4 linked regions of the Mus musculus genome follow. The protein of the gene in region 1 interacts with the protein of each later gene in a biochemical or structural test. Links are inferred from orthologs where the notes say so. Each region holds a gene or a part of one and is shown on either strand. Other genes may lie near its edges. The genes, in order: Nppb, Npr3, Npr2 and Npr1.

The links.
Region 2: the proteins of Nppb (region 1) and Npr3 form a complex in vitro, tested with the Homo sapiens proteins (4 studies listed by BioGRID, with this or other methods). The link is inferred for Mus musculus from reciprocal best matches to the Homo sapiens genes NPPB and NPR3.
Region 3: the proteins of Nppb (region 1) and Npr2 form a complex in vitro, tested with the Homo sapiens proteins (3 studies listed by BioGRID). The link is inferred for Mus musculus from reciprocal best matches to the Homo sapiens genes NPPB and NPR2.
Region 4: the proteins of Nppb (region 1) and Npr1 form a complex in vitro, tested with the Homo sapiens proteins (2 studies listed by BioGRID). The link is inferred for Mus musculus from reciprocal best matches to the Homo sapiens genes NPPB and NPR1.

What each region holds. Positions count from the first base shown.
Region 1 is NC_000070.6:147,981,846-147,989,201, forward strand, and holds Nppb (natriuretic peptides B isoform 1 preproprotein), read left to right. Parts: upstream 1-4,054; 5' UTR 4,055-4,130; coding exon 4,131-4,256; intron 4,257-4,450; coding exon 4,451-4,673; coding exon of another isoform or gene 4,674-4,753; exon of another isoform or gene 4,754-5,116; coding exon 5,117-5,133; 3' UTR 5,134-5,360; downstream 5,361-7,356.
Region 2 is NC_000081.6:11,841,004-11,848,729, forward strand, and holds part of Npr3 (atrial natriuretic peptide receptor 3 isoform a precursor), read right to left. Parts: intron 7,602-7,726; coding exon 7,466-7,601; intron 5,383-7,465; coding exon 5,295-5,382; intron 4,286-5,294; coding exon 4,174-4,285; 3' UTR 1-4,173. UniProt on the Homo sapiens protein: Receptor for the natriuretic peptide hormones, binding with similar affinities atrial natriuretic peptide NPPA/ANP, brain natriuretic peptide NPPB/BNP, and C-type natriuretic peptide NPPC/CNP.
Region 3 is NC_000070.6:43,643,640-43,651,365, reverse strand, and holds part of Npr2 (atrial natriuretic peptide receptor 2 isoform 1 precursor), read right to left. Parts: coding exon 7,683-7,726; intron 7,284-7,682; coding exon 7,179-7,283; exon of another isoform or gene 7,166-7,178; intron 7,059-7,165; coding exon 6,987-7,058; intron 4,826-6,986; coding exon 4,666-4,825; intron 4,451-4,665; coding exon 4,295-4,450; intron 4,218-4,294; coding exon 4,049-4,217; intron 3,896-4,048; coding exon 3,749-3,895; intron 3,290-3,748; coding exon 3,166-3,289; intron 3,020-3,165; coding exon 2,951-3,019; intron 1,218-2,950; coding exon 1,043-1,217; intron 973-1,042; coding exon 874-972; intron 659-873; coding exon 567-658; intron 454-566; coding exon 388-453; 3' UTR 1-387. UniProt on the Homo sapiens protein: Receptor for the C-type natriuretic peptide NPPC/CNP hormone. Has guanylate cyclase activity upon binding of its ligand. May play a role in the regulation of skeletal growth.
Region 4 is NC_000069.6:90,453,693-90,461,418, reverse strand, and holds part of Npr1 (atrial natriuretic peptide receptor 1 precursor), read left to right. Parts: coding exon 1-54; intron 55-244; coding exon 245-329; intron 330-1,365; coding exon 1,366-1,486; intron 1,487-1,923; coding exon of another isoform or gene 1,924-1,998; exon of another isoform or gene 1,999-2,015; intron 2,016-2,021; coding exon 2,022-2,096; intron 2,097-2,296; coding exon 2,297-2,374; intron 2,375-2,682; coding exon 2,683-2,787; intron 2,788-2,997; exon of another isoform or gene 2,998-3,025; coding exon 3,026-3,097; intron 3,098-3,190; coding exon 3,191-3,347; intron 3,348-3,942; coding exon 3,943-4,098; intron 4,099-4,341; coding exon 4,342-4,510; intron 4,511-5,109; coding exon 5,110-5,256; intron 5,257-5,399; coding exon 5,400-5,523; intron 5,524-5,649; coding exon 5,650-5,718; intron 5,719-6,152; coding exon 6,153-6,327; intron 6,328-6,502; coding exon 6,503-6,601; intron 6,602-7,726. UniProt on the Homo sapiens protein: Receptor for the atrial natriuretic peptide NPPA/ANP and the brain natriuretic peptide NPPB/BNP which are potent vasoactive hormones playing a key role in cardiovascular homeostasis.

The sequences.
Region 1 (7,356 bases):
AAATCCCTGGCTGGATCTTTCTTGTCCCATTTCTGTGCCCTTAAAGAACTCTCATATTCCTCCCGTAGAGTCCTGGGATCAGTGAGAGAATTGTCTCAGGGGCAGGCATGCCAGCTGTAACAAGAGACACACTGAAGTTCAAAAGTGATAGGGCTAGCTTAAGGATGTGGCTCAGTTGGCAGAGTGCTTACTTAGCATACACCAGGCCCTGGGGATGGAACCCAGGACTTTTTACAGGCTAAGCAAACACTACTAATTTAACTATAGCTACAGATTGTCAAATGCAGGTCCTCGCACCAGTCTTAGATCCCCTAGAACTGGAATACAGATGGTTGTATCAGATCTTTAGCACTGCATAAACCAGGAGGAACGGTGCATGTTTGTAATCCCAGCTCTGGGGAGGTAGAGTCTGAGGACCAGGCAGTCAAGGTCATCTTTGACTACATAGGGAGTTCAAGCCCAGCCACTAACTTATAGGATAAGGGTATCCTGTTGGAATGTGTTCCCATATGTTAAGCGCTTAGTCCTAAGTGCGCATGTGAATGGAGGGAGGGCCTTGGGAGGTTAATCTATTCATAGATTCATTGGTTAATGCCTTATTTCTGCACGCCTATAATCTTAGCACTTTGGAGATAGAGGCAAGGGGGTAAGAGGTAAAGGTTATCCTCAGCTAAACAGAGAGTTCAAGGCCAGCCTGGGCTACATGAGACCCTGTCTCAAAAAAGGAGAGAAAAAAAGAGAAAGAAATTTCAGCATATGGCACACACACAGTACACATACATGTGTGTAGGCAAAACACTCATACACATAGGAAAAAACCCACTAAATACATCTTTACAAACAAAGGGGACAGAGTTCATAGGCAAGACAGAGACAAAGTGAGAACCCAGACTCTCCAGGTGCTGCTGTGAGCAGGTTGGGAACACAACCAACCCCCTGCTGCTCAGGGTTCAGAGCAGCCTGACTACATGGCAGATCACCCAAGCTCCACTCACTGGCTCATAGTTCAACATCCCCTTCCCCTACCTCTGTTACTCAGCAGAGGCCATGTGTTAACCAAGCCTGCTTCCTAGAGATCTCAGATTGGCCCATCTTCAGAACCCTTTAAGTCTGAATGCCTTGCTTGGCGTAGAAAGAATGAAATGCTCTGCTTTCAGACCCCTGCCCCACACTTGGCATTTCTAAAGGCCTTTTGCTTAAAAAGATGACCTGACTAGTGCATCCCTCAGTCCCTCTCAGACTGGATTTTTAAACACAGTCTGGAATTTGACAGCACCAGCTGCAGGAAGGGCTTGAAGGCATGTGCTCAAAAGTGAGGAGGTCAGAGGCTGTCTCCATAAACCGCTTTGTAGGAAGACGTAATGACTAGACAAAGACACTGAAGACTCCTTTCTGCTCAGCCCCCATTTCTGCACAGAGGTGGGGTCTACTTCCAGTTTCTTTGGAGTCACCTGGGTCTGTTTTAAACAATGGAAAAGGGTGGAGTAGACCCCACACTGATGCTAGGTCCAGACCATACAGGGCATTATCAGCAGCTGTGAGCTGCCATGTCGGTATTAGAAACTGATCCTCGATCCTCATTCGCCACCAGACAACTGACCTAACAGCCTGTGTCTGTTCTGCCTAAGAAAAGTCTTCAGGAGACTCCAGCAGCTGCTGGCACCAGGCCACACTCTGAAGAGGGACATCAAGTAGGAGTCCCACAGCAGAGGTCTACCAATCACCAGGACTGGAAGATGCAGTTGAAAGATGGTCACTACAAGCCACCAAGCTATGTGTGTCTCATGGCACCCTGAGTATGCCTCATGGACAGAGCTTGTGGCACAGTGCTTGCCCAACATGCACAAAGCCCCACGTTCAATCTTCAGCCAACATAAAACAGGCATGGTGGTACGCACCTGTAATCTGGGTGCTTGAGAAGTAAAGGCAGGAAGATACGGTAGTTTAGGTTAGCCTGGGCTACGAGACCCTGTCTCAAAATATGTACAGTCCGTTAAACAGAGCATTCAGGAGGTAGGAACAGGCAGATCTCTGTGAGTTCAAGATCAGCCTGGTCTACAAAGTGAGTTCCAAGCCACCTAAGGACTACACAATAAAACCCTGTCTCAAACAAGCAACAACAAAATAAGTGGATGCTGAAAGAGGGTGTCAGATCCCCTGGAACTGGAGTTGTAAGTAATTGTGAGCCACCATGTGGGCACGGGAACCAAACCTAGGTCCTCTAGAAGAGCAACCAGTGTTCTAAAGCACCTCAGCCATCTTCCAGCACTGGGGATTATTTTTATTGTGTTAGTTGAGGAGCGAAGACCCACTGTGGGTGGCCCCGATCCATGGATGGGGTTCTGGACTATATAAATGGAGAGAGAGAGAGAGAGAGAGAGAGAGAGAGAGAGAGAGGAATTTACTGCTCTCTGCTTCCTGATTGTGGGTGTTACATTACCAATGGCTTCAAGCTCCTGCCACACACAAGCCAGATGACAGGAATGGTGATAGAGATGTGGATAGTGGCTATCTCAGAGGAGAGATAAGCTCTATCAGGAACTTGGCTGGGGGTCCTTTGTATGACCTGTTAGCCAAGAATCTGGCTTTATTCTGCCTGTGTCCTGAGAATTTACTGAAACTGGACGTGGGGGTGGTAGGCTAATTGGTTTCTCAGAGGGAAATTGTGTGAGAAGGATTAGGATTAGGAGACAAATTCATGTGCAAGGAGAAGGGTTGAGCTAAGAGTGGAGATGGAGGCATTCTCTGCCTCTCCTAAACAATTGCTTAGAAGAGAGTGTGTGTTTCCCTTGGGTCAGAACACAGAATCTCATGCAAACATGGGTCCGAGAGGCCCAGAAGCTTGCAGAAGAACCTAACAGCTTTCTCCAAATGTGACTGGTTCTGGACTCATGATCTTCTAACTATCCCCTTTCTCCATCTCTGCCTTAACCCACTGCCACTCCTGGTCATTGTCCTTGACCAACCTGACAGTTGTTAGCACAGATTCTGCAGAAGGGATAGAGACACTGGGCGCACACCTGGGTGTATATGCCTCAGCTTCACTTCCTCAGAGTCTCAATTCTCATCTGAGTGGGAGGCTGGGTGCGTTGTGTGAGGGAGACGTCACTGTTGGCCGATCAGCTAAGAGAGAGCTGGGGAGAGGCCTTTCCCACACGTCTGGAGTCTAGGCACACTTTCTCTTCCACTCATGGTGGGGGAGGAGACTTTGGCACCCAGAGATGATGCCCCAGATGGCATGGCTACGTGACCTCATCTTTGGGTCAGACTCAAAATTCTATCCTAATCAGCTCTTCTTGTTAAGGGTCAGAAAGGAGGGTTGGAATTCCAGAAGTTCCTTGTCATATCCCAGCTTTTAATCAGTTGACACTGGAGAGTGAGCATCCTCAAGCTGAAATCTTCACAAGTTTTTGAGGGGGGTTGTTGGAAGGTGGGTATCAAAACCATTGTGTGAGCCACATAGCTCCTTCTGGCCTGGAAATCGGTTGAGGAGAGAGCTTGAAAGTTGGTGTGAAGTACACGTGTGGCGATCAGAACCACGGACAGCTACCAGAGTACCCGGAAGTAGTGCAGTCCAGCTAGGTGCTGGGAAGCCAGGCCGGGCCTGGATTACAGGTTTGGAGGACACTCTCCCCGGGAGGCTGGTGATGGTGGGTGTTGTTTGGGAATGTTTTCCATGAGTCACGCCATAAGCCCCACACTCGCCACAGGCTGGGAAAGCTGGGGCTCTCCCCGCCATTTCCAATAGGGGTGGGGCAGGATGTCATAGGCCCTCAGGCTCTGCATGAAAGAAGGGAGCAGGAAGCAAGGACTGTTAGTGTGTTCCGCACACCCCCACCCTAGCCCAGCCCATTTCTATACAAGGCTTGCTCTCCACAGCCTCCACCCACAATGAATACTCCACACAGGCACAGAGGGGTGAATTCTCAGGTCCTGAGCTCAGCCGGCAGGAATGCAGCTGATAAATCAGAGATAACCCCACCCCTACTCCGTGAAAAGGTCTGGCCGGACACTCAGCCCCAGTATAAAAGGCAGAGGCACCGTTGTTGAAGACACCAGTGCACAAGCTGCTTGGGGAGGCGAGACAAGGGAGAACACGGCATCATTGCCTGGCCCATCGCTTCTGCGGCATGGATCTCCTGAAGGTGCTGTCCCAGATGATTCTGTTTCTGCTTTTCCTTTATCTGTCACCGCTGGGAGGTCACTCCTATCCTCTGGGAAGTCCTAGCCAGTCTCCAGAGCAATTCAAGATGCAGGTGAGCACTGAGGGTCTGCCTGAAGGGTTTGGGAAGCGGCAATGAAAAGACCTCGAGTCCTTTGGGAATTAGCCATGTGAGAGTCAGCAAACTGAAAGATTGGGCAGCATATCTCTTAACTGATGAGCACTATGGAAGGATGGGGGATTCAGGTGTGTGTGTTTCTGACGTCTGGGCTCCCCAATCCATCACAGAAGCTGCTGGAGCTGATAAGAGAAAAGTCGGAGGAAATGGCCCAGAGACAGCTCTTGAAGGACCAAGGCCTCACAAAAGAACACCCAAAAAGAGTCCTTCGGTCTCAAGGCAGCACCCTCCGGGTCCAGCAGAGACCTCAAAATTCCAAGGTGACACATATCTCAAGCTGCTTTGGGCACAAGATAGACCGGATCGGATCCGTCAGTCGTTTGGGCTGTAACGGTGAGCACCTACCTTGCCACTTCCCTGCAAAGCTGCACACCCATCCCATCCCCGTGCATGCTACCCTTAGAGGCCCCTAGGTTTGCTATCTGGCATACTCCTGCAGCCTGTCAGGAAATATCACATGGGTTCTGCATTACATTCTCACAGGTCAGCACCTACCTTCCATCAGAGGGGTCACACGCTCTGAGGGAGCAGACTGCCTGATGTCTAATCACCCCTTCACAAGGCAGAAAGAGTTCTGAGCATTTCCCCTCAGGCAAAGGGCATGCCCAACCCACTTTACAGGAGAAACAGAGGCCCTGTGAGATAGCTTTTTCCAGAGCCTTAAACTTCGACATCATCTGGGGACTGAAGATGGGGGTGTGGTGGTGGTGGGGGACTCGGCACCTGCTTCAGTTTCACTTCCGAGTGTGACATTGCCCTGTCTCTCCTCCCCACAGCACTGAAGTTGTTGTAGGAAGACCTCCTGGCTGCAGGAGACTCCAGTTTCTGACTCTGCCTGGGTCTCTTTCCCCAGCTCTGGGACCACCTTTGAAGTGATCCTATTTATTTATTTATTTATATTTATTTTTATTTTTATTTTTTAATTTATTTTGTTGTTTTTCTACAAGACTGTTTCTTATCTTGGAGCACAAACTTGCCACAACATAATAAACATAGCGTATTTCCTGCTTTTGAAAAGGATTTGTGTCCGTGAGTTTCAATCTATCTCTTAGCTCTTTTACTTTGCTTTTGTTTATTTTGGTTTAAGATAGACCTGGCTGTCCTCAAACTCGCAGAGATCCACCTGCCTCTCCCACCAGAGTGCAGGGATCAAGGGCATGTACCACGGCTGCCCAGCTGGAACCCTCTCCTTTGAATGCCATGTATCACCGAAACTCAGCTGAGGGCCAAAGGTCCTCATGACTAGTAATGTCATGATTATCATCACTCCCATTTTATGGGCGAGAAAACTGAAATTCAGAAAAGCCAGGCCTCCTGGGACATGAGGGGACAGCTGAGTGGCTGGCACATCTGTTCTGGCTGGCTTGAGCAGAGCTCTGGAGAGTGTCTAATGGAGAGAGGGGACCGAGAGGTGGCTCTTCGTGTGATTTCTCATTTCGATCTTGTGTGCACTCAAGGCTGTGGATATCTAATGAAAGCAATGAGGGTTTTTTTTTTCTTTTTTAAAGTTGAGGTTTAAAAAGTAGCTTATTTTCCAAGCATCCGTGAGTCATCTTCTGATGCTTCTGATGCAGAGGCAACGAGTAGCTAGAACAGTTGATGTGGACAAAGCCCTTTTTAACAAGGCAGGCACGGTTCCATCAGCTGGGACAGCCCCTTGTGACTCTGAGAAGAAGCTGAGCACCCTCCTTTGGCAGGCAGGGAAACCTAGGCATAGAGAGAGCGGTCCTGTGATTTGCCCAGGGTCGTGAAGTTAGTAAGCAGCAGAGCTACGTTCTGACCCAGGTTCTCATCACTGTCCACACAATCTCTTCCAAGCCAGGGACTTAGGCTTGCTGCTGGCATAGACACTCTAACCCACTCATGGCTCATCCTACAGATGCACATTTGAGCCATCACCTGCTTGCAGCCTGCACCTCTGCTCAGGGGACAGTACACACCCATTTTCCCAGGAGACTAGGCACATCTGTTAATAGGGGTCCATTGCTTGGGTGTGACTCATGCTGCACCCAGTACTTGGCTATCTTTTTCCAAGCAAAGTCCTGGAAAGGCTACCCAGAGGGACACCTCGCTGAGCTTCCAGGAGGATGTTGCTAGCTGAAAGCACTACAGGGCATGTCCTTTAAAACCAGTCTCCTGGCTGGGCATGAGGCTCAGCCACAGAGCACTTGCCTTGCATGGGTCTCACACCCAGCACTCCCCTACTCTCCCACCAGTAACACTAAACACACTTTCAGAATCAAATTTTTAAAAATCTGGGTGATGGTGGCACACGCCTTTAATCCCAGCAGAGGCAGGCGATCTATGAGTTCGAAGCCAGCCTGATGTTCAGAGTGAGTTCTAGGATAGTCAAGGCTACACAGAGAAACTCTATCTTGAAAAACATAACAAAACAAAACAAAACAAAACAAAACAAAACAAAACAAAACAAAACAAAACAAAACAAAAGAGTATAAAGAAATCATAGAAGGGAGGCTGATGCGATCTATAGCTTAGTTGGGAAAGTGCCTGTCATTGATATAGGGACCTGGGATTGGATTCTCAGCATTCACATGAAAGCTGGGCACAGCAGCCTGGATCTGTAATCCAAGCTCTGAGGGGGCATAGACAGAAGGCTTAGTTCTGTGCAGCCAGCATAGCTGAGCCAGTGAGCTCCAGGTTCAGCAAGAGAGCACTTGAGGAAGGCACATTGATCTCTGGTCTTCACACACATGTACATAAGTGCAAACACGTGCAGACACACACACACATATACCACACATCCATAAAAATAATACACAAATAATTAGAGCAGAGCCTATTGCTGGTGCTTGTCCAGTGTGCAGAAGTCCTGAATTCCATCCCTGGTGCCGCATAAACAGGGGTTGCTACATGTGTGTATAATTCCAGAACGCAAGAGGTAGAGGATCAGTTTTGGGCCTTCCTAAGCTACATGGGAAGTATGCTGGTTAGGTCTTTTTGTTGTTTGGTTGTTTGGTTGTTTGGTTGGTTAGTTGGTTTGATTGCTTGTTTTTTT
Region 2 (7,726 bases), on another chromosome or scaffold:
CGCGTACATGAAAATCACAGATGTAAACTGTCCAAGGACATGCATGGTCAAGTTGCTGTCAGGCTTCTGAGTAGAAGCCAGCTACCTCCTCACAGCGGTGCGATTTTGTCTTTTTTCTCTGAGTAAATGAGGAGGCCTCCTCACAAGTTTCCACCTGCATGGGAAAGGTGCTAGCACACCCATAGAAATGTGATGGATAGCAGGTGGAGCTCTATGAAGAACAGTTGAGCCCGTGTCAGCTGCAAACTTCTTCTCTCTGTCACTTTGAGAGACATAAGCTCCTGGTTCTTCTCTCTGGGCATGTCCAGCACTTCTTGTGGAGACTGGCTTTTGAAGAAGGTCTAAACTGTTCATTATTCTGTTCTAAAGACCAACTGAAAAATAGACAGATCCCTCCAGTGCCTCTGGCTCGTTCTCCCTACTTCTATGCTGCCCCTAAAGCATCCTGTATTTCTAGACAGTTTCTGTTTTTTCCACTAAAGGAAAAATTCAGCTCATTACCAGCCTTCTTCTAAAGACCTGTAGGGTATAACTACACAAATAGGTAGTGGGCCAAAGTTCAATTGGCATTTGCCTTTGTAGTTGCACCTATTAGGGATCTGAGCTCTTTGTGTCTCAACAAACACAGACCCTAGTGTTTTCCAATTTATAAATGCTATTCTTTCATTCTCTTTTTTCGTGTGTGTGTGTGTGTGTGTGTGTGTGTGTGTGTGCGCGCGCGCACTTGTGACGCATCTAAAACACCTGCACGAGTAGCTCTGTTTCAAGAAAGCAATGGCATCACTAGAAACAGCTTCTGAAACCACTCTCTGAGATACACAAGGCCTCCCTTTCCACGTCCCACTGCATGTCTTAGACCCTGACAATCAGTCCCAACTAGAAGAAAAGAGGTAAGTTAGGGACACAGAAGGTAGATGTGCCAGGAGCAAAGGCACAGGATGCCTGTAAGCAAGGGGAAGTGACTTGGCATTCCAAAGCTTTTCATTCAAGAGAAAAAGGAAGTGGGGGTGGGGCATCTGTTCTCATTCCATAGGATTCTCCCTCTCCTCCATGAATTCTGAAATGTAAACAACTATTTCAAGACATGTGGAATTCTGTCTGTGGTTCAGGAAAAGACACGCCAATGGCTCTTCAAAACAATACATGTTGACGGATTCCGTGTGAAACCTCTGTTTGTGTTGGGAACAGATATGACTCTACCCAGAAAGTTTTGTTTCTGAGTTCAGCTTCTCTCCCAGATCTAAGACAATAATATTGGCTATAAAACTTGTGTTTATTTCCATCACCATAAGTATACGCTTAGTTTAGCTTGTGTATGAACTTATATTTGACAAGATATAAAAAACACTAATGAAATGCCCCCCCTTTGAAACCTTGATCATTGGACTTAAGAGTAAAAATTTATAGAATGGCTTAAGAACTAAAGTTCCATTTTGTTAATTATATAATAGATGACTACTGGCAGATTATGAATGACTAATTGTCAAAGTTGTTGCTTAGCAGTTAAGAATTTAAGTTCTACAATACAATACCAAGAGTTTTTAACCCAGAGCCACCATGGAACAGACATCTATACTGTCAGCAAAGGTTTCCCAACTTGGTGGTGTTTTTAAAACTTAATGACATTTTGGCTACTCATATAATGATTTATTTTTTTCTGAGACAAGGTCTAACTGTGTAACTACAGCTGATCTGAAACTCACTATGGAGACCATCCTGGCCCTAAACTCACTGATATCCTCCTGCTTCTGCCTCCCAAGTGCTGGAATTGAAGACATGGGCCACCTTGTCTAGCCATGTAAAGACATTCAAGAAAGACAAACTATACAGCAGGCATGTAAATGAGCAATCAACCTTAATAATATTAATAATAATATAATAATATAATAAGAATTGCTTTAAAATTGTAGGAAATGACTCCAGGGACTTCACGATTCACCCTGCCTATTTATTTTTTAAACATCTAATCTATTCTTTAACATCTAATCTGGGGATCCACTATTAACCTTGGAACAATTCCTCTAGCTGGAGCAGAAATAAAAAATACTGTTGTAACTATGCTGACATTCAAGGGGAAACTATACAAATTCAAGAAAGGATTAGACATATTCATACCCAAAGAATATAGCCAGGTAGAGAACTTTTCCCACTGTCACCCTCCTGCAATTAACACACAGGTTCAAAAAAAAAAAACATTAAAAAATGAGTATCTCTGAAACACAGGGAAAACATCATTGAAAATGTAAGAGAGAAACAAGCAGCCCTCTGGTTCTGAGAACTGGGGTGGATGCAGTCTGCCCATCTGTCTTCATTATGTGAGTCCCTGACCATCAGCTGCAGCCTTCCTGAGTTGTGCTCCACAAACGCGCCTCCTGGATTAGCATTTTAAAGTTTGCCTTTCTGGCCTACTTTTTTTTTTTAAGTCAGCACTTTTCCCTCAATATCCCACAGGCAGAACCACGACATACCTCCTACCACACCCCCTTCAGTTGTTCAGAAGCTAATTCATTTTATCATGCGGTTTGCATCCCGTTTCCTGAGCCCCACACAGGTGCAGCCCATTCACTTTGACTCCACTGAGAGAATGAGGTGTGGTCCACTCCTTCCCTGGGAAGCCAGCTTCCAGAGCTTGCTAAGCTTGCTTGGACTCCTCCACAGTTAACCTGGATGGATAGGACCTCCAAGAAATTATTTAATTTCCCCCCTTTAAGCTGGGTTTCAGATGCTCAGAATGTTACCAAGAAAGGCAAAATTACAAGACGGTACCCTTGTTCTCTCCTCAAATGATAAAGTCGGAACCAGAATTGAAACCTCTGCACCCAGGATTGAGTGCAAAGAGGATACCCAGCAAAGGCTGGCTCAGTCTTAGCCACGATGCCCTTGTCTGTCCTAGCTCACTGTCCAAGCTATGCATCATTTGTGGTGGCTGCAAAACTCTATAAGGTTAAAGGGACACAGCAGATATCAACATTCCCTTTTTAAATTAAAATCATCACCTCAAATTTTGATAAATTGCATGCAGTTTTTTTTTAAACGTATCACCACTGTGTCTTGCTGTCAAATTCTCACTGTCTGCTTATTCTTGAGGGAAAGGGGTTGTGTTTCTTTATAGACTCCACTTAAGTCTACTGGTTTTGAAGGGCATCATTTGACCATAGTTAGAAAGAATGTAGCCCTCCAATAACATCCATTTAAAACAGTTGAAAATGAACAACGGCTTAACATCAACGTATTCCTTCAGAGTTTGTAAGCTGAACAGACTTCTGTACATCTTCAGCCAGACTAGCAGTTAGACTAGAGACAGCCAAGGGACAGAGGACAGCAGAGAAAACGAGAACCGTTCCTCCCTCTCCACAGATTTGTCACACACCTCCTCCGTGCTCTTAAAATATAAGTGAAATTTAATCTTCAAAATGAAAAAATAGACACATTTCTAATACCAAAATATAAGATTAAAATACTTAAAAATAAAATGTTAGTGTGAAGTAGGACTTTTTTTACATCGTATAAGAAGCATTTTAGACTCAATTTTCTTATATAAATCCTCCTTGCTCACTAATATTTACAGTTTTCCAGAGTAGCTCTGATGAGACACTAAAAGAGACAGGGAGGATCCTTTCTTGAGATATGAATTCAGACCTGAATGTGGACGTTGGACGCAGCCTTCATCAACCACAAACCTGTCCCCCAGTTCCAGAGAGAGGGGCACTGCATTCCCAGCCTGGAGATTTCTTTCATTCCATTGTCCTCTTATTGGGTGTTAAATTCTTTCCAAGAATATTCTCCTTGTAAAAATTGTTTTATCCTAGCTACGAAACATTTCATTTCAGAAAAGCCACATTTTTCTATCCTCGTGTGAACTGCCCCCAAAGCAATCAAGATATGGACGCAGCAGACTTTCAAGACATAAATCTCCTCTGATGCCCCTCCAGCAGCCAGAACACTTAACAGCATTGCGTTGTTTCATTATATTAGTTTGCCATGAGATGAGAGGCCAGAAGGCAGATAGTGATTAACAATCATTCCTGAGCTTCTAAAGAAAATGTAAAATGAAATGACTACTGCTTAAAAGAATGACTTCTCCGAGAACGCCCTTTCTGCTCCGTTGATGTCTGTCCTTCCATCTATCTCTTTAAGGAATCTCAAGTAGACGAAGCGAGAGGGGCATCTCTTTTAAGCCACCGAAAAATGTGATCTGATGGAATCTTCTCGCAGCTCTCGATGCTTCCCGATGTTGCTTTCCTCTTGCTGATTTCGCCTCTCAATGGTTATTCTGTATTTCTTCCTGGGTAAAAGCAAAACAAATGTAATAATAAAACCTCACTCGGCTGTAAAACACCATGGTTCCTCTTACAAAGAGTGCCCTCCAGGGACATCTGGGTTAGGTTTGATAAATGACAAGTGACACAAATATGAAACCCTGTTCTGAGATTAAAGTCGTGTACCCCCAAGGCATCGTGTCCTTATTCAGGGAGAAAAATTGGCATGCTTTCTGAAATGCCACAGAACAAGCCTTCCCCTTCTTCCCTGGGAGTCTTATCTATTCTGCCCCAGAAGCTCTGCTTGACTCCCAGGATGTGCCCCCAGATAAAGATCAGACCAAATGTACTGTGACCAAAGGAACAGGAACACGATTGTTCCCACAAAGAGCCACATACACCCAGACTTACATCTCCAATGCAAAAGTGAAGAAATATTACAAATAAACCATGATGATTTACAATGCCCCATGAATTCAACCACTGAAGATTACCAAAGGACGGGCCACTGTCGCTGCAGCAAACGACTAGAACCTTGAACACATGCGCATAATTAAAAGTTTATGAGATTTAAGCCACAACAATGGCAGCTAAACATGTGACTTCTCCAAACACAGAACCCACTGCAGCCCGGATTCACAGACCACTGGAGCTCCTTCCAGCCTTTCAAGTGAGCATGAGCACTTGTTTCTAAACCGAAGAAAGACTGCGGATAGAAAGTTCATTCTTTGTCCACATTTTTGTATTTGATACAAAGACTCTTCATGTTTGTAATTTGATAGGTAGATGTTCGTAATTCTCATAAATGGATCAATGATCCCGAGATCCCAGCCACTTTCTAGCAAGTAACATAGGAATCAAGGGCTCACTGCCTACCAAACCCAAGATGGAGTCAGAGAACAGTTTTGGTAATTTAACCACCATCCTTCTTGTTTAAAAGAAGGGTGTGGGCAAATCACAGGGAACATTATTGCAAAGACAGGGGACAAAGGCAAAAGAAGCAGGGTGAACTTTAACTCCATAAATGGGCCATACCTGAAAAAGTAGAAGGCCATTAGCAAGCCAGCACCTAGTAGGGCCCCCACAACGATTCCTGTCACTGCAGATTCTTCTAGGCCACCTGCTTGAAAAAGAAACATCAATAATCAGAGTTCATTTTGAGAAATAAGTTAAAATACTTTGACTTTTGTTTATCTCCCAGTTGAAACTAATTTGCCTTTCTTTGTAACATATGTATAATATATTGTAACATATTGTATATTATTTACATATAATATTTATGTACTATATATAGTATTATATGTAACCTATAATGTAAAATATATATGTATAATGCTCTGAGGAAAGGTTTCCAGAAAACACTAGATAAATGCACCGTGACTCGAGAGTGAACAGAGCAAGGTCAAAACAAGTTCAAAGTCGGACCTGGGACAAACACCAGTCACCCTAGCACTTGGGAATATGAGGCAGAAGGCGCTTAAGCTTGAGGCCAGTCTGAACCACATAGCATAATCTGTGACAGGAAAGGAGAATGGAGAGAACAGAGGGGAAGGAAGAAAAGAAGGTTAGAGAGAATAATAGACAGAGAAAGAGACAGATTCAAGATGGATCTGATGAAAGCTGCAAACTGAAGATCTCACACACATCCATCCTGGTTTTGAGTTTAAAGGCGAAGATGCGTGAATGGACAAAGGCACTGGCCCAGAGCTTCTGTCTCTCCAGGTGGGTGGTGACACTTCAAAGTGCTAGAAAGTTCCGGGAGATTGCACTGGGTCAGTATTCTGTTTTTAGATGTTCTCTCACCAAAGTCAGAGTTCCAATCCAAACTGTCCTATATAGCTTTGTGAAAATGTGAACCCCTGTTTGAGTTAAATCTTTCTCGGTAGGATCACCGTTCTCAAAAAACTCAACAGCTACTTTCCTTGCAGGGTTTCAAATAAAGCCTGTGGTGCATGGACATTTTGGCTGCCCAGATCAAAGCTGGGGAAACCCCCTTTACATGCTGGAAATGTGAGACTTGGTGAGTTGAGGGGAGTCTCCTAGGGTCCCCAAACTGGCAAGCAGGAGTGTGAGATTTGGAATACAGACTGGGCGATTATGAGGTCAACACACTTTCTCCTTCATCCTTTCTCATAATTATCACATGGATATAAATTCCTCATCATTCAAAGATGGTCCTGACCTAGCAAACACAGAAGTGGATGCTCACAGTCAGCTATTGGATGGAGCACAGGGCCCCCAATGGAGGAGCTAGAGAAAGTATCCAAGGACCTAAAGAGATCTGCAACCCTGTAGGTGCAACATTATGAACTAACCAGTACCCCGGAGCTCTTGACTCTAGCTGCATATGTATCAAAACATGGCCTAGTCGGCCATCACTGGAAAGAGAGGCCCATTGGACAGGCAAACTTTATATACCCCAGTACAGGGGAACAACAGGGCCAAAAAATGGGAATGGGTGGGGAGAGGAGTGGGGGGGGGAGGGTGTGGGGGAATTTTGGGATAGCATTGGAAATGTAATTGAGAAAAATACGCAATAAAAAAAAAACAAAGATGGTCCTGAGACATAATGATCGTTCATATAGTCACCTAAAATCACTAACTGCCCTGCAAGATTGACATCACTTGTTCTTACTCATATTACAAAGCCCCTCAAAGACAATCATCTCCGAAACCGTCTCCCTTTGCTGTGCTATTCATAAGAAGACACACTTGCTTCTCTATTTGAACCCAGAAACTGACCGTTAATAATATATTCAATAGTTATTAAATTAATTAAATACTTTGCAAGCTGTCAAGCATTTAATGGCATTGAGTGCCCCATTTGGAGGATTTGGGGATTTGGAGGTCAACTGTGAACTTTGAAATCAATAATGAAACTTCTTACAAGAGATGAACAAGAGACAGCTGATAACATTTTTATTTTTCCTAAAAGTGGAAACCTCTGATAACTAAGAGACTAGAGTGAGAGATATAAATCCAGGCAGAATACCCTACCATTTGGAAGAAAAGGATAAAGGAAAGGAATGTGGAAGCTTCCGGTAAAGGAGGAGGGTCAGCCATTTGTGAGTTGTTTCCATGGTTTTGAAGACATCGGAAAAATGCATGGGACTTTCAGAACATGAGTTCTTGAGAGAAACATGTTCCAGACTCATGTGATCCTGGGACGGGAGAAGGAGGACAGTAAATTAAGTCTCTGAACTTACATGATTTGCAAGGAGAGCTGTTGGTATGCTCCACGATTCTGGTCTCATCTAGTCTCAGTTTCAAAGGGCCCCAAGGATATTTGACATTCGATCGCATTTGGAACCGGCCTTCTTTCCCAAAGTAATCACCAATGACCTACAGAAAGGCAAAAGTCAGACGGACAGACAGAAGGTCAGGCCAAAGGTACCTCTTCCCAAAGGAGGCACCACGCTCACAGCCTCGCAGGCATTCTCCAAAACGCATGCCCTGGTCTCTGCACA
Region 3 (7,726 bases), about 100 Mb from region 1:
GGGGTTTTACATAAAGCACTCTCATCCTCAAGCTGCTAATTCATTGATTCTGTGAGTAACTGTGTCCACAACCAGTATTCTTCTCTTGGGATGGCCTGGACCCCAGACAATGACACCATGATTTTTTGTTGTTGTTGTTTTATACTTGGACAAAATATTCTGGTCTAGATACAGATATTTACAGGAGGCAGGAAGAGGACCAGGGCAGGGAGGGATAGGTCTATGTACAAGGCTGAGCGGCAGGGGGCTATGATTTCCACATAAGGCAGGGGGTTTGTGTCTATGCATGTTTTCCATCTGATATGGCTACGTCTGTTTTTGCTGTGTGGAAACACAGTGACCATTGCCCATCCAAGTACCAGCAGCAGAAGATGGCCGGCCTGGGCTTTACAGGAGTCCGGGAGGTCCCTTTTGCTCTCCCAAGAGCCAGTAAGTTCGCATTTTTCCTTTTCCCTGGAGGCAGGGGGATGAGCACAGTTCAGACTCTTGTGTGTTAGTGTCTTTGTCTCCCTCTCTCCCCCCACCATCATCCTCCCATGATCCACTCCCCCACAGCCTGCCATCACCTTCATCTCCACATCCCCACGGAGCTCGAGCTGGAAGCATCCCAGCTCATCCAGGGCGTCCTTGGTGGTCGAGGAGACATGGATCTTTAGAGCTAGGGTGATGTAGACCAGGGGCAGAGGGAGAAAGAAAAATTCAAGAAAAGACAAGAGAAGAATTGTCACCAGTCCTGCCAGAGCGTAATTATAAGAATCAACATAAGACCAAGAATGGGGCACTTCAGGACCATCCAACAGAGAGATATGGAAGAACTCCGAAAAGAAAAGAGTAAGACAGGTCAAGTTTGGAGTTAAAAGCTGTTGTCCTCACCTTGGCCATTCGACTCCATTCGAGAAGCAGTGTTTACTGTGTCTCCAAAAAGACAGTACCGGGGCATCTTCAGGCCAACCACCCCAGCACAGACTGGCCCTGTAAAAACAAACTGGTTGGGAAAGATCTGGAAAAGTAGACACTAGGGCCAGGTGAGAATCAGCCTTACCAGTATGGACACCTATGCGTAACCTCAGCTGGTCATGGGGTCGATGGCGGATGCGGAAGGAAGAGACAGCATCTAGCAATGCTAGGGCCATTCGAGCAATTTCTGGTGCATGGCGCTGACCGTTTCGGCCTGGAAGGCCAGATACCACCATGTAGGCATCCCCAATGGTTTCCACCTGATTTAAAGGGGAGATTAGAAGGTCACCTGTAGTCTCAGTCATTAGAACACTGACTGTTCCTCCAGAGGACCTGAGTTCAGTTCCCAGCATCCATGTAGCAGCTCAAACTCCCTGTAACTCCAGTTCTAGGGGATATGGCACCCTCTTGTGGCCTCCACAGCAACTGCACCCATGTGGCACATACTCAGATAGGTACACACACATAAGTAAAATAATAAAACTAGTTTTAAGAGGTCATCTCCAGCTGTCTCGGGGAGAGCGAGAAAGGAGGTTAGCTGGACAGCAGGGGTCATCCTGACAGCTTGGGAGACCATGACTGACCAGAGAGACGAGGGACTACATGCCATGGCCCTGAGAATCTGGGAGTAAGAGGAGGCCAGACAGGGGAATACTTGACTCTTCCTCGCGACCCCAGCCCCTGGGGAGTCCTCAGTGGCATTTGCTGAACAAGTGGACAGGATCCCAGTCCCAGTCCAAAGAACCCAGAAGCACAAAGAGAGTAGCGTATGCTCCGTAGCATGGACCAGATGGCCTGGCTGTCAGGGAAGAAGCAGCTCCCGACGCTGGTGGCTGTACCAACCTGTGGCTCACAGTGAAGTCTGGAGGGAGCCCACACTTAGAATTTAGGGATAAAGGGGTACTTTATCTAAAACTTACTCTCAAATTTTCCAGAATATATGAATTTTTATATGAATTTTAAAAAAAATAATAAGGCCAGGGATGTAGTCAGCATTAGAACAGAGCAGCGTGAGAAAAGCTGGAGGCTTGATTCCCAAACGTTCCAGAGAGGGAAGGAGACGTATAAAATAAGTAGGAGGAAATAAAAATAATTGATGGATTTAAGTAAAGGGTTTATGGGAATTTTGTTAGAGAAACATCAGAAAGGGTAAAGTAAGCTTTAAAAGGTCCTCTTTTATGTTTAGGTAGGGTCCCGTTGTATAGCCAAGACTAATCTTAAACTCGTGATCCGTCTGTCCCAGCTCCTAAATACTGGGATGACAGGCAGGTCTCACCATGCCCAATATTGTTACCTGCCACAACCACACTACATGTTAGGAACATCTAAAAAAAAATAGGTCTCACATTTATTTGTGCGTGCACGCCCACACGCACATGAATGTGGAAGTCAGAGGACACCTGTGGGTATCACTTCTCTCCTTCCATCATAGGGATTCCAGGCACTGAGCCTAAGACACCAGGCTTGCCGCCCTTACCCACCAAGCCCTCTTGCTGGCCCATCAGTTTGCATGATAACTAAACTATTGCTGCAACAACCAAAGCTCAGAGAAATCCTGACCCTGCCTAAGGCCACATAATTAGCTATAAAATCCATATGCAAATGCAGCACATTTACGCCCAAGGGCAAGTTAGCCCCTTAACCAAATGACTTTATAACCCGACAATGACTTTAACAAAGAGCTTTGTAACATGTATTTCCCCCACCCCATCCATAGTCAGGCTGTGCCCGCATCCTCGGACTGTTCTGGAAGGAGAGACCAGGCGTCTGTATCACTAATACCCCAGAGAGGAAGGGACTAAAGCTCGTGATCAGGAAGCCTGGGAGCCACGGGTGTTGTGCCAGTGTCCACGCCTGCTAGACTCACACCCATTAGAACACTAGGACGCTGGAGAAACTTAGGGAGCGCTGACTGTGGAGTGGATAAGGTCTGTGGGGTTCAGGAAACTGGGTTTGAAATGGGTCTTAGAAGGAGGTCAGCTCCAGCTCTCACCTTGTAGACATCAAAGTTGTCGATAATGGCATCAAAGCAGGTATAAAGGTCATTAAGAAGTGTCACCACCTAACAGGACGGGAAAGCAGAGGCTCTGAAATTAGTGCCCAAGTTCCTAAAAAATTCTCAAGCTGAAAGACAAAAGAGCTCTAGAGCAAACTAGTCCATCGAGGCTCTCCCAGCACTCCCATGCCCGCTCCCCTCACGGCTCTCACCTGCATGGGGGTGCTCTCAGCTGACAGCGCTGTGAAGCCCACGATGTCACTGAAGTAGATGGTGACGCTGTCGAAGGCCTCCGCCTGAACCGTCTCTCCCCGCTTTAACTGCTCTGCTACAGAACTAGGAAGCAAGAGTGTCCCCTCAGCCCCGCTCTGAGAGAGAAGGAGGGAGAGGGTGGGGTATGTGGCACAGCCAAGCCTTAGAATGGAAGTTGGCTTTGGTGGAAGAAAAGGAAAGCAGCTGAGACGATGTCACCTAGCTCAGTGCACATCCGGGTGCAAAAGTGGCCGGCACTGCGAGGGGACTCCCGTGGGGATAAGTGGTTCCAGTTGAAATCGTTCTGCATATACTTGGTCAGACAAAGGTGAGAAAGAACAGTGCCCCAAGAAGGAGGGACTGGAAACTGAAAGATGACAGCACAGCCCATATGGAGACCAAGTGAGAGCATTCTGCCTGTAGCCAGGAGGGCTTACTGTGGCAAGACGTCACCCAGGGTTCCCAGGGTGGCAAACAAATTCTCAGAAGATGGATGAGCTAGAATGTGAGGAAATTCTCGGAGAAGGGGGACAAAGGTCTTACTGGGGTAGAATTTGGTACAGCAGGGCCTCCGCTTTGCGTTTCTCCTCTAGATAGGCCTGTGTGCGTTCCTCCACCAGCTTTTCCAGGTTATTAGCATACTGTTCCATGCGCAGCAAGAGGTTGTCCAATATGCTGGTACCACCTTCCCTGCAGGGAGGCCAGGCTATCACACCTGCTCCAAGGTGCTCAAGAATGACAAGGCTTCCTATCTAACCCACCCCTGAGGCACACCAGCCGCATCCACTGAGAATGATAATGTTTCTGTCCCCCGGGAGCCTCTGAGCCTGGGTGACCTCTCACTTGTTAAACCGGCGAATGAAGCCCTTGATTTGCCCAAAGTCTGGACGTTCTGTTGGGTCCTGGGCCCAGCATCTCTCCATCAGCAAAACTAACTCTTCATTCAGTTGTGTCCGGTCAATGCTTGGCCGGAAATACGGCCTCTGACCATTCCGCACCTTCTGGACAATCTCTAAGGGTGACAGGAAGTTTGGATGAAGACTCAGGTTTCCCTAGCAGAAGCGACTGTGTAGCAACGGACTCGCTCACCCTTGGGACTGAGGTCCAGGCCTTCCAAGTAGAAAGGACCACTTCGAAGTGCTATTTCCTGTAGAATGATGGCAAAGCTGTAGACATCTGCTTTCTGCATGCCTGTGGTTGGCAAGGGGTTCCCGCTAAGCAGTTCTGGGGCAGTCCACAGCTTCTCTGCAAAGAGTGAACAGGCTGGCTAGGTTCCCCAAACAGCATCTTGGATGCCACCTGGGCTCAGCCCCATGTTGCTACTACTGGTCTCCCTCTTACCCCCTCCCCGGGAAGAAACGACCAAGGCTTGAAGGGTGACATAAAAGGTAGGCGGCAGAGGGAGGAGGTGTGGGGGAGGGGATGGCTTGGGGGGAGGGGGGTGCAGGGAGCAGTCTCACTGGCATAGAGGGCATGGCTGTCGTCCGGTTCAGCAGTTGATCGGAAACTAGCCAGACCGTAATCTGTTATTTTGAGCACAAATCGACTATCCACCACACAGTTGGAGGACTTGAGGCTTCCATGAGATGAAATAATGCTGTTGTGGAGAAAGGCCATACCCTGCAGGATACAGAGTAAGTGTCTGGATTGTATCTGGCTTAGGCAACCTCAGTCCATGGCATGATCCAGCTAACTTCATAAAGATATTCAGACCACCAACCCCAAATCATTAGAGATTAAAGGATCTTAAGACCGAAAAAACAAGCTGAATTGAGATGATGTCTCCTGTAGAGCCTCGACTGGAGGAAGCAGGCAGAATGGGAAAGCCATCACTTCCCATGTAAACAGCATCGAACTACAAGGCACAAGGGATAGGCGGAGATACTTATGAAGAGGGATGAGGCGAGCCATCGGTAGTTTCCCTGAGAATGGCGGCTTGCTGAGCAGTGAAGGGAGCAGCCAGAACCAGCTCGGCACCTGAACCGACTTCACACTCCTAGCTACTGTTTAGGAGGACACGACTTAAGACATGGCTAGGCTCTAGGTGCTCCATAGAAAGCCAGCCACTTGTAACTCTTGTGTATGGCTGTGCATAGGATCCAGGTCATGGTGGGAGCAGAATGGGGTCTATTAGAGGAATGCTAGACCACACAGTAGTGAAGACAAAGTTTGAAAAAAATAGACAGAGGTGGGCAACAACAGTCAAGTCATCGTGGAAGCATGGCTTCCTAGAGGCAGAGATGTCAGAACACTGCCCCCAGGAGATGAAAAGGCCGGTCTTGGGAGGGCAAGGCAGTGTTTCCCCAAAGAGAAACTCTGGAAGCCCTCCCTAGTCGGTGCAGGTGGTCAGACAGAGGCTAGAAGGCTCTGCTGTGGACCAGAATCACAAGGGTGTAACCGCTAAGCTCTGGCCTTGAACAGGTCCAAGGCCTTCGAGTTCCTCCTCTTTATTGCTTTGAGCAGCTCGAGGCCTTTAGGAAGGAATGCCTAAGCTGGTGAATTTACCCCTGGGTTTCATGTTTATCCCCACATCTCCTGTCCAAAACTACATTGGCTTTCCCTAATAGTTTCCTCTCTCACTTGATGGCAAACTTTCATATGCATAAATTAATTTTAAAAAAAACTTTCTGAAAACTTAGCAGAAAATCAGAGCCAGTGTCAGGCACAGTCAGGCGGTCTCATGAGTAGGCTGATGAGACCTGCTTCTGAACACTGTCTAAGCCATACAAGATTCATCAGTGTGCTTCAGCCATCTGCAGGCCTCTGAGTCATTTTAAAATGGTTGGCCGTTAGAATGGAAACAGATTTAGTGCAAGTTTCCTTCCTCTCTCTTAGGTTAACATACAAATACGTTTCAGTCTCTGACCAGGTACGATGGTGGTGCACACCTACAATGTTAGCATTGGGGAAGTAGAGATGGGAAAGTCAGGAGTTCAAAGCAATTTCTGGCTACATAGTAAGTTTGAGGCCTGTCTAGGCAACATGAAACCCTGTCTCTAAAAGAAATCAAAGCTACAAGTGTTGTCCCCTGCCATTAATCCCAGTACAGAGGAGCCGGGGCAGGTAGATCTCTTGAGTTCAAGGTCAGCCTGGTCCACAGAGAGATACTTCCAGGTCAGCCAAGGCAACACAGAGAGACCCAGTCTCCAGAAACAAGCAGTTAAATTTAGAAATGTTAAAGACTAGAGACCTCTTCCGCAGTTAGTTACAGGCATGGGGAATATTGGTTAAAGCATGAAATTACAGGAGACGAGTGCACGGAGACCTCATTCGACGTCTTCATTTGTTTGTTTTGAGACAGATTCTTACTGATGCTCAGGCTGTTCTCGAACACCCAATCCTCCTGTCTCAGCGAGTTCTGGGATTACACATGTGCACTACCCACACCCAGCTAAGGGATGCCTCGTCACTGTTCGGTTTGGTTTAATTGTCTTCTTTTTCTGGATAGGATCTTGTTATGTAGTCCACACTAGCCTGAAACTCACTCTGAAGCCTTGGTCAAGCTCCAAGTCAGAGCAGCCCCCTGCCTCAACCTCCCATATGATGGCATGCCCAGCTATAGGATTCTACTACAGGGGAACCCTTTGAGGTAAAGAGACACTAGAGAAACATTAAAGATATCTGGGACAGGAGGACAAGAACCTCTCGGGACATAGGACCGCTGCATCACCCAGTCACGGGAGGAGAGGGCTGGGAAAGAGCTTGGCTGTTAGAGATCCAGGAGAGAAACTGCAGCGAAGATTGAGGGACTGAGACATTTTACATGGCGGGGAAGACTTACCTTCACAAGGTCATTGATGAGCGAGTAGCGAAACATCCAGTCCAAATTGATGCTGTCATTTTCTAGAATATCCTGACAGTGACACGTTAGAGATCAGGGTCTGTCCCCAGTCTCACGGGCTACCCTTTGACACAAGGTGACTTTGGAACCTCCACCCCCACCCTACCACAGTCTCCTACCCCTGTCCCTCACTTGTAAGCTCCCACGAGGACAATACTCGGTGACAATGCAGATGTTGGGAGGGTCTATGCAGGCTCCGATGAAGCGAGTAAGATGGTTGAACTGGACATCTCTCATCTACCAAAACAAAACAAAACAAACAAACAAACAAACAAACAAAACAAGAGAATGGGCAGCCCTAAAGCTTAAATACAGAGGCCAAACATGGTGGCGCACACCTTTAACCCCAGCACTGGGGAGGCAGAAGCAGTAGGATCTCTGTGAGTTCAGGGCCAGCCTGGTCTACATAGTAAGTTCCAGGATAGCCAGAGCTGTTACACAGAGAGACTATGTCTCTAAATAAATAAATACGGAAATACAGAAATACCACTGTGAGCAATGACATTTCTCTTACATACACCTGCAACTGGGAATCAGTGATAAATAAGCCCCTTATCCCGTTAGCCAGGGAACCATGGTCCCCTCATTTCCTCTTCCCTGTCCACCCTCACCTCCCACTCATACCCAAGTACGTACGTGTTTGAGTTCAAACAGAACTTGCCGGGTCAGCTCGATGCGCT
Region 4 (7,726 bases), on another chromosome or scaffold:
CTCCTGACATCCCTAAATGTGGCTTTGACAATGAGGACCCAGCCTGCAACCAAGGTGACAGGCCCATGATTCCAGAATCCTATGTGGAGCCACTGCCTCCTCCCCAGGGGAGTTAAACAGAGGCTTCTTGGCTCCGGACTTGACTGCCCTTCCTTTATCATATCAGTCAACTGACTACTAGATGACTCCTCCTTCCTAATGTCTAACCCCAGTCTCTCTTCTACAACTTGGACTCTCCCCACAGACCACTTTTCCACACTGGAGGTTCTGGCTTTGGTGGGCAGCCTCTCTCTGGTTAGCTTTCTGATCGTGTCTTTCTTCATATACAGGTAAGTTAAGGCACAGGGGTGCTAGGTGAGAAGGGAGCAGGAGGAGAGGAGGCCTGGGAGGAAACCCAATGGGGGGAAGAATACTTCTTTCATTTCCTCCGTGAGGAGGCAGAAGCTCCAGATTGGAGTCTGGAAAGCATGGATCAGTTAAAGCCATAAAGTAGCTGGGAAGTGATTTCAGAGCAGAGCGGATGCTGATGTGGGACTAGCATCCTTTGCTGGGACCAGATAGAGAGCAGTAGTTCAAAACCTTCAGGTAGCTGGGCAGTGGTGGTGCAGGCCTTTAATCCCAGCACTCAGGAGGCAGATGCAGATGAATCGGTGAGTTCAAGACTAGCCTAGTCTATAGATAGTATGGACAGCCAGGGCTACACAGAGAAACCCTGTCTCAAAAAACGAAAAACAAACAAACTTCAGCTACTGACTTCAACTAAAGGAGTTGGTTCTGGATGACAATTCAGCTGAGAGCTAGGTGCTGACGCTAAAAGAAGGTGAGCGAGCCCACTCCTGGCCTCTGGTGCATGGGGAAATGAAAGTACAGAGCAGGATAAGGAAACAGGAAAGAGGGGGGAAGAGAGCAGTGCTGACTGAGCATGTGTGCCAGGCACTTCCACACTCAGGACACTGCATCCTGTAATAATTAAGGATGAAGTAGAAGCTGGGTGTGGTGTGCATAGCTTTACTCCGGCACTCGGGTGGTAGAGAGAGGTGGATCTCTGTGAGTTCAAGGCCAGCTTGGTCTACATAGTGAGCTCCAGGACAACCCAGGCTACATAGTGAGATGTCTGTCTTATTTAAAAAAAAAAAAAAAGATACAGAGGCCTCCAGTTTCCAAAGGAAGGAACTGAGGTGACTTCTCCCTGTCGGGTAAGATCCCCTGTGAGTTAGAATTTCCCTCAGGCTCCAAGCCCCAGCTCTCAGCTCTGAGAACAGGATTCCTTCAAGCATCCCTTAGCATGTGGGGTGTCCTGGGGCTCTGAGGGCTGAGGAGCACCCCACCAGGGCTCGGGGCTCAGATGCAGGCTTCACATTCCAGGAAGATGCAGCTGGAAAAGGAGCTGGTCTCAGAGTTGTGGCGGGTGCGCTGGGAGGACTTGCAGCCCAGCAGCCTGGAGAGGCACCTTCGGAGCGCTGGCAGTCGGCTGACCCTGAGTGGGGTGAGGACACTGCTGTCTCTGGAGGATGGGGATAGCTGAGTGCCAAGAGCAATGGCTGATGAGTTAGCGGAAGCTTCTAGATGAGGTGACTCACCCGGACCCAGGACTTGGGTGGTTAAGATAGGAAGATCTTGCTGTAAGTCTGAGGCTAGCCCATCCGTCTCTCATAAAACCAGAGCCAAACAAAAGAACAGGCTAACCCCCAGCTCTGCCTTCACTTGCTCACTCTGACATTGTCTTAAGTGAGGGTTGCAGTTACAGCCTCTGTAACAAGGCCCTCTCAAAGGTCAAATGACATAGTCTAAGTAAGCACGCAGGTATGAGTCTAATACACTACACAAAGGCGGGTGGGAGCTGGCATGGGTAGCTTACACCTGCAATCATTACTACAAGTTCCAGGGCAGCCTGAGCTAAAGAGTGAGAGCCTCTCTCTGCAGGGTAAACAGATAAGGGGCAGTGTGATTGAATCTAGAACTTCCAGGATGCAGAATGACCTCTGGGCTGACCAATAGATGACTATTGTTCATCTCTGTAGCGAGGCTCCAATTATGGCTCCCTGCTAACCACGGAGGGCCAGTTCCAAGTCTTTGCCAAGACAGCATACTATAAGGTAGGTCTGGGGCAAGATTGTAGAGTGTGCTCTGAGGACTAAGAGATGGTTCTGAGGTGGGCTGCCAGGGGACAGGGGTGGTCCCAGGGCAGGGGTGGGCTTTTAGAAGCAGGTAGAGAGCTGGGGTCATGGATGGGTTTCAGAAGCAGATGGGAGTCTCAGGTCATCTCCTGAATAATAAGTTTCCATTTCTTGCTCAGGGCAACCTCGTGGCTGTGAAACGTGTGAACCGGAAACGCATTGAGTTGACACGAAAAGTCCTGTTTGAACTTAAACATGTAATTTAGGGGAACAAGGCTGTGGCTTGGGAAGGGCCCCATGGGTACTCCCAAGAGAGTCGGCCAACAGAACTTGATTATGGAAGGATCTATACATCTGGGATGGGCCCTTGAGTCTTGTGGGTAGGAAAAAGGAGATCAGTCATGAGAGATCACTGGGTCCTCCAGGGTCCAGACGGGTTGTCCTCATAGGTACAGCCAGGAAATCAAGGGGTTAGGGAGCAGATGCTGAGAAAGAATGTTAATCAACACATGACTTGGTGAGGTATGAAGCCTCTGCCAGGCCTTGATGCTGCCCCCACTTGCAGATGCGGGATGTGCAGAATGAGCACTTGACCAGATTTGTGGGAGCTTGTACCGACCCTCCCAACATCTGTATCCTCACAGAGTACTGTCCCCGTGGGAGCCTACAGGTGAGCGGGACAAGAGGGAGTGTGTCGAGAAGCCCGGGGTTCCAGCCCTGGCTCTTACCCCATTGATCACATGAGCCCAGATAAGCTTCCTCTTTCTGGCCATTCTTGGCCTCTCTGTAAATGGGAGTTGGGGGCGGGCATGGCACTACAGCAAATCCAAGTGTCCAAGCTTACGCCAGTAGCTCCCTTGTACCCTCCTCCTACTCCCAGGGGGGTCTGACTCTTGCTGCCCCAGCAGGACATTCTAGAGAATGAGAGTATTACCCTGGACTGGATGTTTCGGTACTCACTCACCAATGACATTGTCAAGGTGAGTCCAGAGGAGCTCACTGGATGCCAGGCAAGGGCTGGGCATGGTTGGAAGTCACGAACCCGAGCCCTCTCGCCTTCCTAAATATTCCAGGGAATGCTCTTTCTACACAACGGGGCCATTGGTTCCCATGGGAACCTCAAGTCATCCAACTGCGTGGTAGATGGACGTTTTGTGTTAAAGATCACAGACTATGGGCTCGAGAGCTTCAGAGACCCGGAGCCAGAGCAAGGACACACCCTCTTTGCCAGTAAGTCTGACTCTTGACCCTAGGCCTCTGCTGCCAACACAGCTCAGAAGGGAAACTGAGGCCTAACCTCTGCATGACTTGGGTATACCTCTCATCTGCAGGCTCAATCTTCATTGGTTAAAAAGGAGGTCAGACCAAGTGGTCACTGGTTCTCAGCACTGTGCCGTGTGCACAGGAGTCCTAGCTACACCCTTGATCCCTGATTATCTTAAACCATATGACAGCTTATTTTCGCAGCCTTCTCAGATTATCACACCATCCTGTCTTACTTTTTTTTCATTTAAATATTTATTTATTTATTTCCTGCATAGGAATACATCATTGCTCTCTTCAGACACAGCAGAGGAGGGCATCAGATCTCATTACAGATGATCGTGAGCCACCATGTGGTTGCTGGGAATTGAACTCAGGACCTCTAGAAGAGCAGTCAGTGTTCTTAACCACTGAGCTATTTTTCCAGGCCCCCACCCCTGTCTTACTTTTATTATAGCATTTATTACCCATGAAATATAATATTCATTTGCTAGTTTTTCTTTTTCCCATCATAATGTAAAGTCCCTTATCCCTTCTATGACTCCCAACCTCTGATCCACAGAAAAACTGTGGACTGCACCTGAGCTCCTGCGAATGGCTTCCCCACCTGCCCGTGGCTCCCAAGCTGGGGATGTCTACAGTTTTGGTATCATCCTTCAGGAAATTGCCCTAAGAAGTGGGGTCTTCTATGTGGAAGGTTTGGACCTCAGCCCAAAAGGTGAGGATCACTTGGCCTATACCCCAGCCAATCTTGATGAATCTACCACCAGAGAGGGAACCTCTCCAAACACCCCTACCATTCCTTCTGGAGTGGGGAGTCAGCCACTATCCTTTGCTCTGTGGCTGCTAGTGACCAGTCCACTCTGTGCTCTGGTCTGGACTTGTCCCACCTAGACAGGTCTATCCCAGCTGGTTGCCCAGCTAGGCTTGCCGCTCTTCAGTGCGTGCCCCTTCCACACAGAGATCATTGAGCGTGTGACTCGGGGCGAGCAGCCCCCATTCCGACCTTCCATGGATCTGCAGAGCCACCTGGAGGAACTGGGGCAGCTGATGCAGAGGTGCTGGGCAGAGGATCCTCAGGAGCGGCCACCCTTTCAACAGATCCGCCTGGCGCTGCGCAAGTTCAACAAGTTAGTGGTCTCTCCCACTACAACCACTGTAAATCCCACACTTAAATCTTCTTCTACAGTGGCAGCCCACAGAAGCCACCACAGCCTCAAAGGCATCTGCATAGCTGGATGACTTGGCTGTCCCAACAGCTCCTTACCATTCACTACTCCTTCCTCTGCCAACATTGATACCCCACACCCTTTCCTGCCCACGGCCCTGTACTAACCCCCAGACTTCCATCTCTTTTTTCCAGTATGCCCACCGGCTAGTTCTCCCACTCATGTCTCTCTGCTGCCTGTCACTATCCTCAGCTCACCCTGCTTCTCTCCCTCCCCACCTCCTTCAAACTCACTTGTGTTCAATAAGAATAAGTAAGAACTCCAGCTGGTCAGAGAAGCAGGTAGATGTCTGTGGGTTCAAGGCCAGTTGTTCTTTTCACCTAAAACCCCTGATAATGTGAATAGATCCAGCTATGGCTACCTAGAGAGACCCTGTCTTTAAGGGTGGGGCAGGCATGGTGAGTGCCTGAATAATGTGGGCACTGCCAGGAAGAACCAGTCATCCCATCTCATCTCATCTGCTCCCCCCGCCCCCCGCCCCTGTAACCCATGGCCCTCAGGGAGAACAGCAGCAACATCCTGGACAACCTGCTGTCACGCATGGAACAGTACGCCAACAACCTGGAGGAACTGGTAGAGGAGAGAACACAGGCTTATCTGGAGGAGAAGCGCAAAGCTGAGGCCCTGCTTTACCAGATTCTGCCTCAGTGAGTTCTAAACTCTGCACGCGCGCGCGCGCGCGCGCGCGCACACACACACACACACACACACACACACACACACACACAAACGTATAGCCCTGTCCCCATCCCATCTCACCTCTTGGTCTCTACCTGCCCTCTCCCCTCAGCTCTGTGGCTGAGCAGCTGAAGAGAGGCGAGACAGTCCAGGCTGAGGCATTTGATAGTGTTACTATCTATTTCAGTGATATCGTGGGCTTTACAGCTCTTTCAGCAGAGAGCACACCCATGCAGGTAAGCCGGGGTTCAGCCACAGGCAACAGGCCAGGTAGGTCAGCTTGGCCACCTGGTTAGTACTCTCCACTTGTCCCTGGTGGGAGCCCTCATTCACCATTTCTCTTGGCTTCCTTTGCCTTCCAGGTGGTCACCCTGCTCAATGATCTGTACACCTGTTTTGATGCTGTCATAGACAACTTTGATGTGTACAAGGTGAGGTTATGAGTAGAGACAAGAAAGACAGGCAGACATGGACAGTCAGAAAATGTTCAGAGGGATCCTCTGAAACAAACAAAACAAAACAAAAAAGGCCAGGCATGGTGGTGCACACCTTTAATCCTACCACTTGAAGATAGATGCAGGGAAATCTATGAGTTTGAGGCCAGCCTGAGCAAGTTTCAGGACAGGACCCCATAGCTACACTCAAAGAAACTCTGTCTTGAAAAAACAAAGGAGAAGAAGGAAGAGGAGGAGGAGGAGAAAACAAAGACCAAGAACATGGGCAGAAACACACAGGGGTGGGGGGAACCCAGGAACAGACAGAGAAACGGGCTGAGGCTGAGTACATTGACAGGCCAGTTGATAGGCACAGAATGTAGGCGGGTAACGCAGGCAAAGCTTGTCCTTTATTCTCCCCCGCCCCACAGGTAGAGACCATTGGTGATGCTTACATGGTGGTATCAGGGCTCCCAGTGAGGAATGGACAGCTCCATGCCCGAGAGGTAGCCCGAATGGCACTTGCACTGCTCGATGCTGTACGCTCCTTCCGCATCCGCCATAGGCCCCAGGAACAGCTGCGCTTGCGCATTGGAATTCACACAGGTCTGACCACGGAAGGCCTCCGGAGGCTGAAACTCAGAAACAAGTCCGAGACTAAACCTTTATCCCCTGTCTCTCTCCACACACCCTGGGACCACATATCCCAACTCCTACCTCTTCTGGGGTGCTCACCTCCTCTGACTTCCCTGGACTCTGTTCCTTTCTTTTCCCCTCCCAGGTCCCGTGTGTGCTGGTGTGGTAGGGCTAAAGATGCCCCGATACTGCCTCTTTGGAGACACAGTCAACACAGCTTCAAGAATGGAGTCTAATGGGGAAGGTAGGATGGCCCTCCTGAGGGAATGAGAAGGGTGACTACTTAGTACATCCGGCTGCTTCTATCTACCTAGTTCCTCAGCTAGCTCCTGCCTTCTCTCTGCCTGCCCTCATTTCCCTATACATGTATCTACCACATTGTAAATCAAGACAATTGGTGTGTGTGTGTGACACATGGGGTTGAAAACGCACTAAGCCCACCTTAGCCCCAAAGCTTAGTTAGCTACAGAAGTGTTCTCAAAGCATTTTCTTTAGCTTACATCTGAGCAAAGCACTCTAACACAATTTTTTTAAGAGACTTTAACAAGTGGCCTAACACTGAGGTATGTGATATAAGATATTTATATTCTTTATTTTAATGTGGATCTCATTAAGCAACTCAAGCTGGCCTTGAACTTATAATTTTCCTGATGTTGTCTCCAAGTACCTGGGATAACAGGCCTAAGCTACCAGCTTGGGAAACAAAGTCTATTTAATAATAATAATAATATTATTATTATTATTAATTGTTTGTTTAATGTACTCATGCACCCACAAAGATAGGTGTTTTGCTGGTGAGGTGGCTCACTGGATTAAGGTGCTTGCTGGCCAAGCCTGGTGACCTGAGATTGACCCCTGAGACCCATACGGTTCCAGGGGAGATTGGATTCCACAAGTTGTCCTCTGACTTCAACACATACCCACATGAATGTATGTACACATACAAAAATGGATAAACATTACTTTAAATTTTATTTTTAAAAACTTTAGCATGCACATTTTTAGTCTCAGCACTAAGGAGGCAGAGGCAGGTATATTTCAAAGTTCGAAACCAGCCTGGTCTACAGAGTGAGTTCCAGGACAGCAAGAGCTATATAATGATACCCTGTCTTGTGAAACAAAACAAAAAACAAATGATCCCCCCAAGTCTGAAAATGTCCTCCCCCACTCACAATAAATAAGTAATGGTAATAAAAAATTTTTTTTAATTATGAGAGAAGGGGCTGAAGAGATGGCTCAGTGGTTAAGAGCACTGACTGCTCTTCCATAGGTCCTGAGTTCAATTTCCATCAACCACATGGTGGTTCACAACCATCTGTAATGGGATCTGATGCCCTCTTCTGGGTTGTCTGAAGACAGCTACAGTGAA